Linked DNA regions of Sus scrofa. The protein of the gene in region 2 purifies or fractionates together with the protein of the main gene of each other region. This does not show direct contact. Links are inferred from orthologs where the notes say so. Each region holds a gene or a part of one and is shown on either strand. Other genes may lie near its edges.

Region 1 (4,356 bases), on a different chromosome or scaffold from region 2:
GAGGATGCTCACTGGAGGCCCCATGACCTCCACTTTCTACCCTTCAAAACAAGTGCCATCAGCCTCCACCAGTATCCCCAACACCCCCACCACCACCCACACACCCCCCCAATCCCAGGCTTTCATCATTTCGCAGGTCTGAATGGTCTTCCGGGATTCTGAAACCGAAGCACCTGTGAGGAGACCAGCCGCGGGCTCCTGAGCTGCAGTTTCCCGGTGCTCCTGCCTTCCATTCCCCCTCCTCCCTCCCCTCCTCCCCCTCTTCCAGCTCAGACCCTCCTCCATCACGTCACCACAGAGAAGGACAGAACATCTGGCCAGCCTGCCTCTCCCCTGCCATTCCAAGCCCGCCTACCCTGGCCCAGAGCTGCCCCTCTCAGAGAGTAAGAACCAGGCAGCTCAGTTGGGAAGAGTCCCCACTGTGGACCCTCCCTTAGGGTCCCAGGCCACAGCCCTAGTGCCCAGTTCCGACTCTAATCTGTCTAATGTGTCTCTAACCCAGCACTCCAGGATCTTTACAGAGGAGGCTTTTTCTTCATCAGCCTTTCTGTCCAAACATCCACAAGTGCTTTGGAAACAGTGCCCTAGTGGCAGGAACCCTCAGCCTAGAAGGAAACACTCCACGTAATAAGGCTGCCCCCAGAGACCTCAGGGATCTGGGAAGCTGGGGGTGGGGGTGGGTGTCGAGCTGGGGAAAACTCCCCTGCAAACCCCAAGGTCTCCTCAGGCAAAGCCTGGAAATACGATTCTTTGGCAGAGGATTTTTACTTCTTTCTGGGTGGGTAACAAGACACGGAAGCTGCCGCAAGATGGGAATATGAGAGCACTTCCACACACACAACGCCCCGACAGACACACTATATTCCTGGAGCTCAGCTGCCTTGGTACAAATAGCTCAGATTCTGCTCCACACCAGCCTTCGGCCCTCCTGACTCTGCGCCTCTCCAGGAGCTCCCACCGCCCTCCCGCCCCAGGCCCAGATCTTCCAGAATGGCCACCCGGCTCCACTCTCCCACTCTCAGCCCCTTTGCTCTCCTTCCTCCTGGCTAGACTGCCCTCGCCCAGCAATTCGTCCCGGCTGTCGCCCAAGAGTCTCGCCCACCGCTCGCCTGCAGCCCTGCAGCGAAAGAACGCGGCCCGCCTGGAGCGAGCCTCTTGCGGGTCCCGGAGCCTCCCGTCTCAACAGGTGCCCCAGCCACACGAGCTGCTTGCTACCTGGGCGGAGGCCGAGACAAGTACGCGCTGGCCCAGGTCCCCAGAGCGCCTGGAGGGCGCTCCCGCCCTTGCCCCTCCGCGGAGGCCCCCCACCCCGCTTGCCCTGCCGACTTGGTTTCCCGGCTCGCATTGACGTCGCGGGCCCATCTCGTGAGAGGCTATCTCCGAACCTGGGCGCAGACGCTGCTGGTTCACTCGTCGTGATGGACTGGTGTGGGGGTGGGGGACGTGTACTGGACAACAGCTTTCCGCGACCCTGACATCCCCAATAGCGGGGAGTCCTCCGTGCCAAAGAAGCAAACTCAAGTTTACCCGGGCTGAAAAGGGAGCTCAAAGTCCAGCACAGCCCCTAGTGACCCAGCCTCACCCCGCGTCCCCGCCACACATCTTTTGCCCCCAGGAGGCTAGAGAGGGGGTGCGCGTGGCCACCTACGCGCTCAGCACCCAGCGGTTTCCACTGCCGGCTGTCTGCGCTCAAGGTTCAGCTGCCTTCCAGGGCGGGGGAACGCACCGGCAGCCCCCGGCCCAGGCGGCGCAGTGTTGAGAAAGCGGCCACGTTCCCAGTCGTGCGCGGACGCCGGGCCCACCAAACTTGCAGCACTTTCTCCCAGCCCCCACTCGCTGTCACCCTCCCTCCATCCTTGCGCCCTGGCCCCGCTAGCCCGAGAGCGGTTGCCATAACAACGGACAGGAATGCTCCAACATATACAATGCTGGCGGGGCGCGGCGGGCACGCAGCCCCTGGCCCGGCCCCGCGCCCTCTGCAGCCGCGCGGGGCTAGGAAGCGCGCCTCCGTTGCCGGCCGCCCCGCGCACAGCGCGTACTCACAATGAGCGGGATGGTGCGGTCCTCGCGGAGCTGCTCCGGCCTCCTGCCGGCCCTCTGCAAGCCCCGGCCGCCGGAGGATGCTGCGTGGGCTCGGTTGTCCTGCCATAAGTAGTAGAAAGTGCCCAGGATCCAGGCTACCGTCAGGATGGCGATGGCATTGGCTCGGATCTTCCTCATGGTGGGCGGGCGAGCGCCCCGAGTAGGGGCCCGGGCCGGCGTGCTCTTGGGGCCGGAAAGGGGGCACTCGCAGCCCCAGCTGTTTGTTTTCGCTCGCGCCGGGCTGCTCAGTCCTGCAGCGCAGAAAAAGGAGAGAGGTGGGGGTGGGGGGGTGATAGGGAGAGACAGGAGCGCGGAGCGATCCTCATGGTCCTAATGCCCTTCAGCCCCAGGCGCGCGCGTCCCCCGAGCGCCCATTCATTCGCGCGCAGAGCCCGCCCCGAACTCCAGCCCCCGCCGGCCGCGGGGCTGCTGCGCCCAGGGAGAGGAGTGCGGCGGGTGCGAAGCCGCGCGGGAGGAAGGCCGGGCGAGGCAGACGCCCGCGGCGGAATGGCGATGGGCCAGAGCCAGTCTCGGCTTCCACTGCTGGGCGGCCGAGCTCCCGGCGGCTGCCTCCGCGCGGCGCTGGTCGGTCCCGCCTACCTTCACCCACCCCCGGACCCAGCGGCCTTGAGTCACCGACCGGAGATGCGCGACCCCGGCCCGGGCCCGCGCCGCGGAGCCGCGGTCCTGGACTGCGCTCTGAACTGCGCTCTGGAGCGAGGTTTAAGGTGTGTTCGGCGAGTCCTTGGGAAGGGGCGGCTGGGCGGGAGTAGAGTCTAGAGTTTGCACTGGAATCCTCCGCAGCCTAGGATTCCGAGCTGCCAGAGGGCCCGCCCCGAGGAGGGATTGGAAGCTGGTGCACTTGACATTCGAAGAGAGCGAAGGGGAAGCGGCGCTGCTTCAGAGCCAGTGAACGGAGAATAGGGTACCGTCACCCCACCTCTTTCACTGGCCGGGAGCTCCCAGCTTTCGTGATGCCTCCCTGTACCCTGCCTCGTTGTCCCCTGAACAACGCTGGGGTTTTATCATCAGGAAGAAGGGAGACCAGAGGGGCCGGAAGATTCGCCCAAGATCACACGACTAATTAGTGGGCAGAGCCCAGTCTAGAAGCCACCTCTCTGTCTGACACTTTCCACAAAGTGCAAAACACGGGAGTGAGAGACACAAACACAGAAATCATTGAGATTCGGTCCCATCCCTGGTGGCATTGAGAATCTGATGTTAACTACTGACATCCCAGGCGGAACTACCCCTGTTCCAGGAGACCTGCACAGGGTCGGGCACAGAGCAGATACTCAGTGAACAGATGTTAAATAAACCAAGCAGGGGTCACAGAGGAAGACATAATGTATTGCAAGGGTGTCTTAGGGGAAGGCTTCTCACAGAAGGTGGATAAATCCTTTGAATAGATTCTTAAGAGGCTGGCAAGGCGAGGACAGGGCAGGGTGTCAGCTGCCTGAACAGCCTGAGCAAAGGTCCAGAGGATGAAAGCACTTGATGTTTTCAAGGAAGAGAGCTACCTGGCATTACTGGGGCCTGGGGTGCTGGGAAGTTCTTGGTGGGAATTGAGATTGGCCAGTCTGGGCGAGTCTGGACTCAGGAGGACTTTGAAGGTGAGGAGCATGGTTGTCAGGGAGTTTGCATCTTGCTGGTGCCCCTGGACACTGGTTCATGTGGGTCCTGGCCTCTAAATGAAGCTGCCTCGAGAATCAGGCAAATGGTGAAATCACAGTTCATGTTTTCCCCTGACCGCCCCATCAGCATCACTCATTTCCCTGGTTCCCCAGCCCGCAGGACTGAAGCATGTAATAGATGCTCAATGCATTTCTGTTAGAAGGAAGTGAAATGAAGAAAGGAAACCCTAATGGGTTTTTTGCTGCAGAAAGGTCATCGTTGTGACTGTAATACCCTTTCCTTACTCAGAAGACTAACCACTAGGACACCCCAAATGACCCCACCAAGACTGTGACCCTGGGAGTCCCTGCTGTGGTGCAGTGGGCTAAGAATCTGGCTGCAATGGAGTTCCCATCGTGGCTCAATGGTTAACGAATCTGACTAGGAACCATGAGGTTTTGGGTTTGACCCCTGGCCTTGCTCAGTGGGTTAAGGATCCGATGTTGCTGTGAGCTGTGGTGTAGGTCGCAGATGCAGCTCTGATCCCTTGTTGCTGTGCCTCTGGCGTAGGCCAGCAGCTACAGCCCCAATTAGACCCCTAGCCTGGGAACCTCCATATGCCACAGGAGCGGCCCCAGAAAAGGCAAAAAAAAAAAAAAA
Region 2 (3,616 bases):
CTGGGCCACAACAGGAACTCCGAACAGTGGGGCTCTGTCATAAAGTGGAATGAACGGGAAACTGAAAAGATCTCGGTCTGAGCTGACCCACAAAATTCCTGGTTCCTAAACTCCCACTGCAGTGAGGGTTTGAAACCAAATTCTTGCCGCCCGCCCCACACCCCTAGAAGACTGTATTCCCTGGGGGGTGTTCAGCCAATGCTAGACAACCCACACAGACTCAAGATCAAAACCCAGTCACTCATGGAGTTCTCATTGTGGCTCAGTGGTAATGAACTCAGCTAACATCCATGAGGATGTGGGTTTGATCCCTGGCCTCCCTCAGTGAGTTAAAGATCCAGTGTTGCTGTGGCTCTGGTGTAGGCCAGCAGCTGCAGCCAGCCCTAAAAAGACAAAAAAAAAAAGTAAACCCATTCACTCAGATTCTGCCAAGCATCGTCCATAGGTCCAAGCTGCCGCCGTCTCTGGGTAAGCAAAGTCATAATGAAACCCAGGGAAACCTCCAGCCCGTCTCAGCGTGGACAGACGGCTCCCAAGAACCGTTGGTATGACCACCTTTGTATTCAGTGACTGCAGCAATTATAAATAATGCTTATCTGTTTATAAGACTTTCCAAGACAAACTGCCTTTCTCACATCAACAGCAAGAACCAATTTCTTTCGAAATGTCCTGGAACAGATGTTTGCTGCCAGGCTGATCTTTCTGCCCGTTTAGCGAGGTTCTGAGCGTTAATAGTTATTATGCCTTTTTGGAGCCCTTTCCTAATTTTCTGTGTAGTCTATCCAAGACGTTCCCCTGGGATCTTCTCTATATTGAAAGCATACAGTAGAATAAATAAGGAAGCAGGAGGTTAAAAAAAAGACGAGGGGAAAAAAAAGTACCACAGCACAGAACAAATTGCTCAATGACTATTTGCACTGCCCAGATAAAGCCTCAACATTCAGACAGCTGATCAAATACACCTGCCCTCCCCACTTCCTGGCCCCAGGAGCAGGGAATGGTGACCCATCACGACTGCAAAGAGCCCTCTGCAAGATACTGCCTTGGAAGCCCACAGGTGGAGCCAGGTGGGCAGGGCAGGAGGAGACCCAGCAGGGGCTGTGCAGAGCCAGCCCCCTGTCTGCTCATCAGGAGTGAAGGCCACTGGCTGCCAGATCTTCCCGCCAGGGTGAGGACACACTCCAACAGCAAGTGTACACATAACCGGGGGGGGGCGGGGGTGGCGTGTGAGGGCAGCCACAGGGAGGACCTCTCAAAGCCGTTACCAAGTGGACGTATTTGACGGCAAGGAAGCAGAGGGTCCGGGGGCAGAAACTGACACGGCCATGCAAGCTTTCAATGAACAAAACTGCCGTGTGGTCTTTCCTCTGAGACAATAGCATGGCTCTCTTCCCAACCATCGCGCCCAGCTGTTTGGTCAGAGGGGGTCTTTCTGGGACAGGAGTCATCACTTTCTCAGGAGTGCCTGGGCCAAGTGCCCAGGAATTCTTCCTCCTCCCTCCCCAGCGGGGGAGAAAGAAGGCAGGTGGGCAGGGGAGTGGAGTGAACGTGAGCCTGCCTCCTGGGGTACAGGCCCAGCCGACGATCCAGCAGAGAAACTCAGCTCTCCCCACATGGTCCTTCCTGTGCCTCCTCCCTTCCTGGGAGAGCAGGGATATCAGGCGCCAGCTCAGGTCTCTCTGGGGGGCTTCTGGCCACCTCTGGGACTTGCTGGTACACAGCATCTGGTAAGGTGACATGTGCCTGCACTGGATCTTTATCATCATGGACCCTTCAGCCAACCCCATTTTAGCCAACGGCCTTGGGTCGTGAGTTCAGGGCCCGGCTTTGGCTCTCTGTTCAGTGACCGCAGCCAGACTTCAGGCTGGTGTGCATATCATGCTTCTCTGCAAGCAAGTACATGCTCATTCCCCAACCCAAGCCACCTCATCCTCCTGTTAAAAAGCCCTTGTCCATGGTCTTGGGTGGTAGCTGGGTGTGTTGTCATCTCCCTGGTGACACCATAAGCTCTTTAAAGGTCAGGACCACCATCACGGCCACTCCCGTCTCCCAGTGTCAGGTCCACTCCTACGTACAGTGTCGCCTCAAACGACGTCAGCTGTTTTCTATAATTGTGATGAGATCTGACATTTAAAATCTGAACTTTACCATAACATAACTAAGGGGATGATGAGTCATACTCAGCAAAGCTTATTTTCTTTGGGGAATGAAGTTGCAATCCAATTCCTCTAGATAAAAGCCCTAAGTGGCTTGAAATAATCAAGTTCAATATCACTGGCTACCTAAGAGACACGACCAGGGATGTCAAGTTGGAACAGAAGTATATCTACAGCACAGAGCTCGACTACATCCTGACACGGAGCCCCCAGGGGGCGCGGAGCTCACCAGGTGAGGCATCAGGAGGTCCGCCACGTAGACGAAAGCAGCTCCGAGGGTGAAGCCGACAGCCACGGGGAAAAAGGCCAAGGCCCCAAAGCCGCCAGAGGATGTGGCCATCTCCACCGCTGGCGCCAGGAGGGACCAGTAGGAAGCCGCCAACATGACCTGCAAAACCACGATAAACAGCAAACCATTAAACCACCCCCAGAAGGGGAGCTTCACTTGCTCTCTAGGGCCCAAACTGAACTACGCCACGTCACCTGGGTAGCCTCGATGGTAACTGACCCACCATTAGAATTCTACTGTTGTTAAGAATGCAGTGTGGGGTCGGATGGAGGGGACCTTGGGAAGTGGAAGTCTAGTTTGCTGTCATCTAGCCTCTAGTTCGATGCTTCTCAATCAGGGATACTTTTGCCTTCCCAGAGATACCTGGAAACATTTTTGGTTGTCACAAGAAGGGCAGGGAGCAAGGCAGAGGTTGCCAATAGCATCTAGTGAGCAGAGGCCAGAGATGCTGGTAAACGTCTTGCAATGCACATGACAGCCCCTGACAACAAAGAATTATCTGGCTTCAAAGGCCAACAGCACTGGCGAGAAAATCTATGCTGACTGAATACTTCCAGGACCAGTTGCTCACTACTTCGTGAGCTCCACTGCACTGGCCATGAGACAGCTCTCCAAAGCTTTTCCTTATGTTGAGCTGAAAGCTGTCTACTTTCTGTTTTGACCCATTTGCTCCAGGTCTGCTCTCTAGAGCACCAAAGCAATGTGTCTTTCCTCTGTGCTGCGTGACAGCCCTTGAAGTATTTGAAGACAACCAGTGAGACCATGTTAGCTCAGGCTCATCCATTTTCTCATCTCTAAAAAGGAAGAAGGGAATGAATATTTATTGATCACCTACTATTTCCAGGGACTAAAGTTTCACATTTGATGTCTTCTTTTTTCACCCCAACAATGCTGGGAGGAAGATGTTGTTTCTATTGCTATTTGAAGATAAGGAAACTGAATCTCAAAGTAATAAGATCATTTGCTCAAGGTCACAGAGCCAAAAAGTGGCAGATCCAGAGAACTGAGCAAATGGGACCTTCAAAACTCAACAGGGGCTGGAGGGGCTGGGGAGGGGGGGCGCGAACCTGAAGGAAAAGAGAGAAATGAAGCTGGACTCCAATCTCAGTGAGGTCAATTTGATCAAAAGCTGTCCAGTGTGAGTGAATGAAACACTCATCCACGGCTGTTT
Region 3 (4,185 bases), on a different chromosome or scaffold from region 2:
ATTCCAAACAGCAATTAGATCACCTCTGTAGAAACTGGAAAATATATAGAAGGAACCAAGTAGGCTTTCTAAGATTAATATATAGTCTTTATGAGAAAAGACTCATTGTCCGTCTTATTCTCTACTATATTCCCAGTATAGAACAATGTACAAAATATGGTAGATGTTGAGAACTATGTCTAGATACTCATGTTGCAACAGAAGAAAGGGTGGGGGAAAAACTGTAATTGTAATGTATACATGTAAGGATAACCTGACCCCCTTGCTGTACAGTGGGAAAAAAAAAAATATGGTAGATACTGGTGTTTTTTCTTTTTTGATAGTAATAGCAAAACTCAACATGAGGTGGTTTCTTAAAAGTTAGTCGCACTGTGGAATTTGAAACTACATCAATGAATTTGAACCTATAAACCTATAAGAGAATATATTACTTTGAAAATAATTCTTACAGATCCCAGGAAGAGGGCTCAGAGAGCCCTCATACCCTCCAGGGTTCCCTGGACCACATGTCAAGAACCACTGGTTTACATAGTACTTTTAAAATTAGTTATTTAAGCCAAGGGATGTTGGTTTTCCTTTCACAAGATAATAAATAGATGTTTAAAATGAAACTTTCAATTTAAATCTATTTTAAAATATATATGAAATAGTACAGGTAGGCAATCATATTAAAAAATGTGAATTATTTTCTAAAACAATAAACCTCTGCATTCCTGTAAACCTACACTCTATAAAGGAGGAAACTAGACAATGTTTCCTCAGCTCTTCTCTTGGTTGGGTCTTCTAACACTGAGGTCTTGACTTCGCATGTCAACCCTTCAAAAAGGTGGTCCCCAATTAACCTAAAGAGGCTTTATAATAGATTTTCCAAATCAGTCTTATTACATAGAATATTTTAAAATGATTGGTGCCATAATATAACTTCACTTCAGTAACAATGGAATGTGTCAAGTAGAGCTGCTTATAACAATAACAATATCACTAATAGGAATTTTTAATTCCTTTTCTACTTGATAAGGCATTAAGGGGAGTAGAAAAATAAGTGACAGTCATCTACATTTATTCATAACCTGGTACAACATAATAACCTGGTTTACTTAATCAAAAGGTTGATCATAGGTTAAGATATAGAAACTGTGCTAATGGAAAAAAAAAATTCAAACAAAGCAAACAGTGGATTGTACAATCACAGAAGATTATTAGATCCCTCAGGACACCAGTTAAATCACTTTACCCTTCTGGGTCAGTTTCATCATATGTAAAGTGAAAGATGTCATTAAGTGTCCATATCTGTATGGAATCTGAAATTCAGATAATTCTACAATCTAACATTCTGTAGTAGGAATAGGCTCAAAAATACTCATTTTGAAAATTAAACTTCTGAATGATTTGGGATTGCTATTTATAGATGACTTCATTTTAGAAAGGTTTTTTTGTGTGTGAAATATCAAATTTACTAATTTGATTTACTAATTCAAATTTTTGTAAATTTAAAATCAGATATACTTAGTTTTGTTAGGATATTAAGCATACGTTCCAATATTAAAACTAGATCATATTTATGACATTTTTTTCCCCTTTGATGCATAGGTAACAGTTTTCCATCTTATCATGCAACTAGTAACACTTCGCTTTGGATTACTTTGTGGCATGCAAAATGAATACCTAGATGTTTCTAATAGTGACTATGACAAAGTCATATCAGTGACTATTAGTCACTATTAGTGACTGTCATACCAAATTTTCACTTTCCCAGATCAAAAAAGGTGGAATGTATAAAACTTCATATGGTACAAGAAAATTATTAAGGTGACGGATTAAAAGCCAACACTAAGAAACTGCTGCTAAAAGAACTTTTCTTCTTTTACATTTTATAAAATACTATAATAAGATCATTCCGTATTACCATTCAGTTACTCATATAAATATTGATTTAGAAATTGGGTACTAATTTATAATTTATAAATGAAAGAGAGAAACACTTGGTGGTCTAAATTCTCCCAAAGGTACCACAGGTTTTTAAGACAGTTATCACAGGTCTGCACCCATGATACTGGGGGCGGGGAGAGGGCAATGCCAGGTCACTCACTGGGCCTGCAAAGGAGGCTCATCGAGGCTTCGCCTCACCTGACCGTCCTGACGACGAAGTACACCAGCACCGCACCACTCACCACCATCAACACGGTCAGGGCCCGCTGGGTCATGGGCTTGTCGCTGGGGTTAGGGCTCACAGCAAGGACGCCACCCACTGAGCCTTCTTCCCCCGCCTTCCCGCCTGGGTCGGCAGCAAGCTCCGCCCCAGGAAAGCTGCCATTGCCGCCCTCTGCGCCCCGTGGTCCTGTGGCTTCGGCCTGAGCGCGGCCTGGGGACTGGGGAGCTGTGGGGCCAGGTGGCAGAGGTTGCAGGGTCCTCGGCCCACGGTCTGGAGGCCCGGGATCCTGCGCGGCCTCAGCCGCCTGCAGCAGCACCGCCAAAGGCCCTCTCAACTCTGGCAGTAGTAGCAACAGCAGGAGGGCGGAGGCGAGGAGGTGGCTGAGGCAGCAGCGATAGTGCGTTGCCTTCATCGTCCCCGGACGGCCCTCTCACCACGTGGGAGCTTCGGGGCCCACCGCCCTGGCTCCAGGTGGGACCATGGGAGCAGCGAAGAACGAAGAAAGGGTGACCAAATCCCGGGCTAAGGCCCGCCGCAGCAGGTGGCACAGGCGGCAGCTGCTGCAGCTGCCGGGAGAACCGGAAGTTCGTACATCTCAGCAGCCCTGCTACTAGGGACGCTTTCGGTTGCTAACATGCCAGGGACGGCGCCTTTAGTGACGTCAGGCGCGCAAGGCCACTAGCGCAGGCACCCTGCCTGCGGGCCAGGGGAAACCCTCTGTGGTTGGTTCCCTAGTAACAAAGTAAACAAAAGAGAGTAGTGTAAAATGTGCAGCAACACTTTGCATGAAAATACTTTAAGAGATTGGAAGCTCCTAATTTGAGTTCGTTTGTGCAAAACTGCAGATATGCAGCTTATTGTTTATTAAGACCGCTTTGACGTTTCCCTCAGCTCAGGTACAAATTTTATACGGCTTTCTTCCTTAGAGCATTGATGTTAGAAAACTTGTAACTGTGCATTTATTTTCTGTGTTTTTGAAATATAAATCTTTAAAACGGTATTGGTGGTGTTAATATCCAGGGCTCTTTATTAAAGAATTAGGAGCCATCCTTTTGAAATGTCAACAAAGATAGCACTAGCTCCCAGTCTCTGTGGAAGGGTAGGAGCCTAATTTAGGGGGGCACCTTGTTCAGAGTTGTAGAACTATCTCCTGTCAGGAAGCTGAAAGAAAAATTTACTTTTCTCTTGGGTAATTTCATTTAGTAATCATAATTGGCCTGAGGTGCTCCCTGTTCTTAAATCTCTTAAGTTTTTTGTTACTTTTTGGTGAGTTGAGATCAGAGTCCTGGCCTCTCTCCTCTGTTGCAATAATGTTGAATAAAGTTTTCTTTGCCTGTTTAACGTTGACATCAGTGACGTGGAACTTTGATTTGAGCAGATGCAAACATACAAACAAAACACCAGACCAGAAGTTGAAGTTAGTATTTGTTTTTTAAAAAAATTATTCATTTAGCATTGTTCAGATATTTCACTCCTTGCTTAGCACTGTGTCTGAGTACTGAATAGTAGAGGAGTAGGACATGGTCCTTGCTCTTATAGCACTTAGGTTCAAATGGAGATAACACAATGAACAGTTGCATTCATTCTGAATTTGGAAGTGTGTCGTAAATAACAGGTATAGAATCTACAATAAAATTTTTCTAAAGGATTTTTGTAGATAAGGTGGACAGGATAGTGTCTTCTGCCTGCTTCAGGGTGACAGAGTAATGCAGTTGCTTCTGCAGTGTAGAATTACAAGGCCTCGGTGTCTTAATGCTGGGTTCTAGTGTGAGGAAATCCATTGGTGACACACCCCAATTTTAGCTTCCTACCTGGGCATTTTCAGTAATGAGGTGGCTCCTTGGGTTTCCTGTCTCCTTTATTAACAACCTTATTCAAAGCCATACATGGAATAGGGTTAGTATGTAATGCCACTTCCTTCTACTTCTCAAAAAAGTCCAGTAATTAACTCATTGAAAGCCAAAAAAAAAAAAAAAAAAAAAAGTGCATCATCTTTCCTTTCTTACAATTTCTCATTTTACTGTTGTGTTCCT

What was found.
Region 1: the proteins of SLC39A11 (region 2) and GALNT16 purify together in Homo sapiens (co-immunoprecipitation; 3 studies listed by BioGRID and IntAct, counting the BioPlex papers as one, with this or other methods). This does not show direct contact. The link is inferred for Sus scrofa from reciprocal best matches to the Homo sapiens genes SLC39A11 and GALNT16.
Region 3: the proteins of SLC39A11 (region 2) and FAM174A purify together in Homo sapiens (co-immunoprecipitation; 3 studies listed by BioGRID and IntAct, counting the BioPlex papers as one, with this or other methods). This does not show direct contact. The link is inferred for Sus scrofa from reciprocal best matches to the Homo sapiens genes SLC39A11 and FAM174A.

The regions. Positions count from the first base shown.
Region 1 is NC_010449.5:92,927,367-92,931,722, reverse strand, and holds the start of GALNT16 (polypeptide N-acetylgalactosaminyltransferase 16), read right to left. Parts: upstream 2,890-4,356; 5' UTR 2,723-2,889; intron 2,352-2,722; exon of another isoform or gene 2,334-2,351; 5' UTR 2,221-2,333; coding exon 2,044-2,220; intron 1-2,043. UniProt on the Homo sapiens protein: Catalyzes the initial reaction in O-linked oligosaccharide biosynthesis, the transfer of an N-acetyl-D-galactosamine residue to a serine or threonine residue on the protein receptor.
Region 2 is NC_010454.4:7,885,191-7,888,806, reverse strand, and holds part of SLC39A11 (zinc transporter ZIP11), read right to left. Parts: intron 2,545-3,616; coding exon 2,386-2,544; intron 1-2,385. UniProt on the Homo sapiens protein: Zinc importer that regulates cytosolic zinc concentrations either via zinc influx from the extracellular compartment or efflux from intracellular organelles such as Golgi apparatus. May transport copper ions as well.
Region 3 is NC_010444.4:106,553,867-106,558,051, reverse strand, and holds the start of FAM174A (membrane protein FAM174A), read right to left. Parts: upstream 2,811-4,185; 5' UTR 2,565-2,810; coding exon 2,128-2,564; intron 1-2,127.